2 linked regions of the Macaca mulatta genome follow. The protein of the gene in region 1 binds, or shares a complex with, the protein of each later gene. Links are inferred from orthologs where the notes say so. Each region holds a gene or a part of one and is shown on either strand. Other genes may lie near its edges.

The links. Proteins that work in one complex are often made in the same cells at the same time.
Region 2: KAT6B (region 1) and BRPF3 share a complex: the UniProt entries of both Homo sapiens proteins name them as parts of the MOZ/MORF complex. The link is inferred for Macaca mulatta from reciprocal best matches to the Homo sapiens genes KAT6B and BRPF3.

The regions. Positions count from the first base shown.
Region 1 is NC_133414.1:74,586,995-74,590,494, forward strand, and holds part of KAT6B (histone acetyltransferase KAT6B), read right to left. Parts: intron 3,151-3,500; coding exon 2,859-3,150; intron 1-2,858. UniProt on the Homo sapiens protein: Histone acetyltransferase which may be involved in both positive and negative regulation of transcription. Required for RUNX2-dependent transcriptional activation. May be involved in cerebral cortex development.
Region 2 is NC_133409.1:146,049,677-146,053,176, forward strand, and holds part of BRPF3 (bromodomain and PHD finger-containing protein 3), read right to left. Parts: intron 2,121-3,500; coding exon 1,964-2,120; intron 1-1,963. UniProt on the Homo sapiens protein: Scaffold subunit of various histone acetyltransferase (HAT) complexes, such as the MOZ/MORF and HBO1 complexes, which have a histone H3 acetyltransferase activity.

The DNA of each region.
Region 1 (3,500 bases):
ATTAAAGACAATCAGAAACAAACCATAATTGTGAAGTTCATTTCAGTTCAGGTGACCTTATTTTTACTGAACCTATATGCACATGTGAATATAGATGTAAACATGTACATATTTATATAAGCAGATGGATAACTACATACATATTAATAAATATATAAATAAATATATGTATAAAGCACCCAAGTATTCTTACGATCTTTAGATTACACTAATCTTCTAGAATCAGTGGTCAATTTAAAGGAAAAGCTTTATATAGAACAATAGTTTTATTAGAAACTCTGGAGAATAAAAATAAGATGTCACAATCATCATAAAACAGATATCCCTTCTGCCAGAAGAGAGTGAGTTCTAGTCCAACCGGTGAACAGCAGAGTAAGCACTGGCTGATTTAGGTAATAAAAGGATTATAGAAAAACTTACCTGCAAGTATTACTTTCAAACTGACCAGCTGAAAAGAACACATATATGATGCAGAATGGTTCCTTGAGAAGTGCCCAGTACCATGCCCGAGTTAAGAGTCATCTCAGGACATTTCTATTCACAATGGCAGGTAATAGCCATGCCAGTGCCCCCGGATTCCACATTCTTTTTATTTTTGAGACGGAGTCTTGCTCTGTCACCCAGGCTGGAGTGCAGTGGCATGATCTCGGTTCACTGCAACCTCTGTCTCCCAGGTTCAAGCGATTCCCCTGCCTCAGCCTCCCAAGTAGCTGGGACTACAGGCATGCATCACCACGCCTGGCTAATTTTTTTGTCCTTTTAGTAGAGATGGGGTTTCACCATGTTGGCCAGGCTGGTCTTGAACTCCTGACTTTAGGTGATTTGCCTGCCTCAGCCACCCAAAGTGCTGGGATTACAGGCATGAGCCACCATGCCTGGCTGGATTCCGTATTCTTATTCTACATGCTACTGGACCTACCAGCTTTTGTTGGAACAACTTCCAAAATCAGAAGATGAGTTTTCTGACAATTATTCTTAAGAAAGAAGGACATCCTGAAAGGAGTCAGGCATAATACGAGAAGACAGCCAAGAAGGGGAAACAAAGCTCATTCTCACACACAAAATGATTGCTCATCGCAGTTTGTTGTGGTTTGTATGTTGATTTGTTTAAAGAAAAAAAAAAAAAAAACCCCAAAGAATAAGGCTTGGTTTCTCTATACCCAGAGTAAGAAGTCATTCCTTCAGCAAAAATATGTATGCAGGAATAGCATTTCTGTGAACTAAGAACGTCAAGAAGATGCTTGTTCTTAAAACTGTGGCTTTTCAAAAGCTAGAGTGATCCTGTGGTTCCCAGGAAAATGAGATTGCCTGTTCCCCAGATTAGAGTAAGTTCTGAACAGAGTCATCTCGGCCAGAGAATAGAGACAGTATGCCATAAACCCTCATGAGTCAGCTGGGAGCACACGTTCTCAACCTGACAGCAAGGATAGGTGTTTTATTTTTTTATTTTTATTTTTATTTTTTTTTGAGACGGAGTCTTGCTCTGTCACCCAAGCTGGAGTGCAGTGGCTGGATCTCGGCTCACTGCAAGCTCCACCTCCCGGGTTCACGCCATTCTCCTGCCTCAGCCTCCCGAGTAGCTGGGACTACAGGCGTCCACCACCTCGCCCGGCTAGTTTTTTGTATTTTTTTAGTAGAGACGGGGTTTCACCATGTTAGCCAGGATGGTCTCGATCTCCTGACCTTGTGATCCGCCCGTCTCGGCCTCCCAAAGTGCTGGGATTACAGGCTTGAGCCACCGCGCCCGGCAGGATAGGTGTTTTAAATACAGCAGGAAAGACGATTCACTGGTGTTCAGTATATTTTTTAGAGGATGGGGTACAGGTGTCCCTGTCAACTTAAAAAGGAAGGTTGTCCCTGTCAACTTATATCAGTTTACTGATTTCTATATTATACAATATTATCAAAGCTAATCTTGATGTGTGGGTAAATTTAGATGATTTTTTTTTTTTTTTTTTTTTTTTTTGAGAAAGGGTCTCATTTTGTCACTCAGGCTGGAGTGCAATGGCATGATCATGGCTCATCCTGAGCTCACGTGATCCTCCCATCTCAGCCTCCCAAGTAGCTGGGACTATAGGCACACATCACCACTCCTGACTACTTTTTGTATCTTTTGTAGAGATGGGGTTTTGTCATGTTGCTCAGGCTGGTCTCAAACTCCTGGGCTCAAGTGATCCACCTGCCTCAGCCTCCAAAAGTGCTGAGACTACAGGTGCACACCACTACACCTGATTAATTTTTCTATTTCTTGTAGAGATGGGGCTTTGCCATGTTGCCTAGGTTAGTCTCAAACTCCTGGGCTCAGGTGATCCACCTGCCTCAGCCTCCCAAAGTGCTGGGATTACAGGTGTGAGCCATCATGCTCAGCTTAGTTTAGATGAATCTTTATAGTAGTATATACTAAGACACCGCTGATTATAAGATGTACTATTGATTCACTAATATTTGTTTTCCAGGAAAAAAAACGATTCCATTCAATGCTCACATTGATAATAATATATACCTTGATTTCAGAAATACTAAATGTGGGAAAAAAAGTACATATTAGAATCAAAGAAATGTAATGTGTTTCTTACCAACAGACTTAAAAGTTTTGGGGGATAAGCCAATTTCTGGTAAGTAAGATGAACCCACCTAGAAGAATGTTCTGGCCTTAGAAGTTGTTTAACATAAAATCCAATTCCAGGAAGAAGGGACAGAAGCTTGTAAGGATGGGAAAGGGCAGATGGGCACTTGCTCCAGGTGCATCAGCACCACTTCCCAGGTACCTCTGGGCATCACGCCAGAGGCCTGCTCTTTGGCACCCAGTCAGATACAGACATTCTCAAGGGTAAGGTTTTTATCATTCCTCTACTTACTTCTACAAGGGTCAGCATTCTTAAAGCAATGATTGTCTTTTCCTTCCTCTTCCTCTGTTTGTCTTTTCTTCCCAGGCTGATGTTGGAATGCTTTTCTCAAGACTGGCTTCCTGCCATCTTCCTCCACTTCAATCTCGCAGGTAGGCTCCAGCTGTGGCATTGGCCTCTCTTCATCTGAGTTGTCGAAGGGCTCATTCAGTACTTCTGTCGTCTCTGAAATGGTCTCTGTTGTTACACTGCTGTTGATCCTCCTGCGTTTACGACCCCTTTTCTTCTTTAGTACAAAAGGCCTCTGAAATTAATTCCAAACATAACACATAAGAGCTCATGAGAAATTAAACGGTTGAGTCGACATGCAGTGGACGTGTACTGAACACGTGTCTGAGAATCTTACACGTAGAGACTTCTGTAATGCCTTTGTACTTAACCTTCCATTTGATGTTTAACATCCCTCTCGGGCTCCAACTACACAGGCAAGTGTTTTCCAAATAAAACAGTTGTTTACTCAAGCAGATGCTTTGAGAGGGAACATCCTAGCAGCTTGACGGGAGATTTTAAAAACTAAGCTTTGCTTTTCTAGTATATATTTTCCAAGTGGTACTTGCTGGCTTCAGTACTCCTCACATCACAGACATTTAAGGT
Region 2 (3,500 bases), on another chromosome or scaffold:
TATAAATGCTAAGAGGATACAAAATAGAAGATCTGAGTAGGTGGAGGTTAGATCAGAGAAGCTTCCTGGTGAAGAATCTTACTAGAGTTTTACATATAGGTAGGTGACAGACATGGATGGACAAAGTAGTAAGGAAGGTCTCTCCTGGAACCAAAGGTATGAAAGGGGTAGAAATGTAGAGGCAGAATTAGTGATTCTTTGCTTAGTAAGCAAAACAGGCTGACCAGAACAGAGATGCTGGAGAACTACAAAAGTCAAGGAAGATCCAGGATACAGCTAATAAGAAGCTTCAAATGTAAGGCAAAAGAGCCTTAACTTCACCTGCCTAGAAAGAGGAGTATACTCTGGAAGAGGAAGTAAGAGAATGGAAGAGCAGGACATTGCTCACCTAGGCCTTGCTCCTCTCCATAGTCAGACATTCCTGCCCCAAAGCCAAGCTTATAAAATCAAGAACTAGGCCTTTCCCCAAAGGACAGATCCCCACCAATGTCCCTGCCAAGCACACCTGCCCAGATGTAGGCAGCACCCTCCCTCTACAACCTCTTGGCCATGGAGGATCCCAACAGCATGTGAATAAGAAACTACCAGTTGTAGAGCAAAGAAAGAATTAGAGGCTAGAGATCACCTAGAAAGCTATTGCTGAGATTAAGAGGGCATGGATGAGCAGGAGAGCTGCAGAATGAAGACAAAAAACCATGTTGAGAAAGCCCCCAAAGCAGCTTAAGGGATGATTAACAGTGGCCCATTAGGGAGTAAAGAGTCAAAAGTAACTCCAAGGTGGGGAACTCTTGATATGAGTCAGGAGGGAGGGGAGAGCCATAATGATGGGGAAATAAGTTTACTGAGAGGAAAAAAGATAATTAACGTCCAATATTTGAGTTACAAGTTAACCACATCCACATGGAAACGTCCCTGAGGGACTGATGGCAGAAAAAAGGGACGAGGACAAGACAAAAAGTCTGGAGCTGCTATTATACAGTTATTGTCAATTATGAGAGTGGACATGTTCTCTAAGCAAACAAGCAGATAACAGAGCCACTGGGAATGTTACCATTAAAGAGCAAGAAGTGGGATCAGCATAGGGTATGGTCAGAGAGGTAGAAGCAGCAGGAAATGGTATCACAGAGAAGCTCTTAGACAAAGTGATTTGTGGTGTCAAATGCAGCCCAATGATCAATCAGGTGAGAATATAAGGAAAGACTTCCTGGGACAAGGTAGCTGATGTTTTAGGGGAGGCTTCAGTGAAGCAGGTGGACCAAAAGGTTCAAGGGGGCCAGATACAGGCTTATACTTCAGGAGTTTAGTTACAAAAGGCAAAAGTGAGATCAGACAGAATGCAGAAGGCACCAGACTCACATAAAGCTTTGCTTCATCTCTGGAGCAGCAGTGTGGGAACACTTAAAGGCAGAAGGAATAGAACAGGTGAAGGGGGGAGAAAGAACTAAATAGTTCAAATAAGGGAAATTAGGAGCAAAAAACATTAAACATGCAGCAACTCCAGTTGCTAATGGCTAACATCCACCACAATTGGACAGGCTGTGTGCTACAACTTAGATCGTAAATTTGTGTATTTACTATGAAACATTTTTTGGCAGATGGCAGTATAATGTCTTGAGGAAAGGGCGCCTTTTCCTAATTAACACAATGTGGCCACCCTGGCTCTCATTCAGCCTACTTCTCGCTTTCTGCCACATCTAGAGGATTTTCCCCACATATATGGAAAGCTGGGCGTGCTCTCCACTCTCCCCTAGAATTCTCTACAAAGTCAAGCCTCATCCATTCAGAAGGAGCTGCTTGACGATCTCTATAGTGCTGGGGGTTGTTCCTGGGATGGGCCACCCAGACAGGTAGGCAAAGGCTCCATGGAGGGATCAAGGAGGGATGCCAGCCCCACCCCAACCACCATTCCTTTTCCTTCACTCTCCACCTCCCTCTACCAGTCTCAAATCACCACTGCACCTACCTGCTCAGCATTTCTTTGGGACTGCAGATGGGAGTGCAGGCGCCGGATAAGAGGGACACCATTCCGTGCCTGCCGCTTCAACAGCCAATAGTTGTGAAGCCGCTGCATAAACTGGTTTTTCCTCTGAAAGGAGAGACCACTACAGATCTTGTTCAACCTTAAGTAGAGGCACATGGAAGTGAAAGACAGGGTCAGTAGGCAGCCCAGATTATAGCCCATGCATCCTATCCAGACCCTGGTTCATTTCTGAACCTTATACAGGAAGACAGAATAAAATGGCCAAATACCTCACCTCAGAGAAAAGCTTGAAAAGGACAGTAAAGTTAAGCAGCTCAGATTCAGCATGAGGTATTTCATTTGCTTTTCCACCTCTTGCCTTGCAGTCCTAATCCTCCAAAAGAACCCTCTCCCAGAACCCCGTTTCCTATGGTCCTAGACTTCTTCGTTCCAGGTATGGACTGAGAAACAAGCCTATGCCTCAATACCCCCACCCTCCTCTTATAAAAGCAGCGAAAGGGAACAGGAACTGGGGTAAGCTATGGTTAATGTGGCCACTATTTCCTGCCTTCTGCGGCTGAGAGTCCCATCAAACCAGGGAGTAGCCCACAACCAGGTTGAGCCCAATGCAACCCCTTAGAGTTGTTTGACCTCTGGTTTTTCATGGTATAAACCTCAGCAGCCTAAAAATGTTAATTTTGAACCAAATGAAAAAAAAAATTGGATCTAAAGATGTAAGAGGATGGGAAATGTGAAAATGCAGCTGGCTAAACTACTCAAGTCTTAAGGTCAGGGTTTAAGCCAGTAACTCCTTGGGGGAGGAAAGGGTACGAGAGGAATTAATGCAAGCCTATAATATCTGTCTTTAATATCCATATTGCAAGGTGGGTATCATTATTCCCATGTCACAAAAGATGGAAAGGCAGCATAGGAACAGAAGCTGAATAAACTGTCAAAATAACTAATGCAGCTAATAAGATGGTGGATCTGGGTTGGACCTGAATCCACGATCTCTCTGCTATACCATGGTACATCCCCAGACTGGTTATCCACAGGGTAAGCAAGGCCTCAGTGCTCCTGTGATGTTTCCTCTCCTTTTTTCTCTTCATGCCACTCCATTGAAACAAAGATAAGCACAGCTAAACAAGTTGAAACCTTAGAAGGATGGGCATGTTGGGCACGACATTGCTCACCTAGGCCTTGCTCCTCTCCACAGTTAGACATCCCTGCCCCAAAGCCAAGCTTATAAAATCAAGAACTAGGCCTTTCCCCAAAGGAGAGATCCCGACCAATGTCCATGCCAAGCACACCTGCCCAGATATAGGCAGCACCCTCCGTCTACAACCTCTTGGCCATGGAGGATCCCAACAGCATTTGTGCGGGTAGGGAAAAGAATAGTAATGATAAAATAGCAGCAGCAGCAGCAGCCACCATTTATTGAGCACTTACTATTTGCCAGACACTGTGCTAAGTGCTTTACTTATATTATCTCATTTATTTCTCACAACAGCTCTATGTGGTGGGTTCATTTACAAATAAA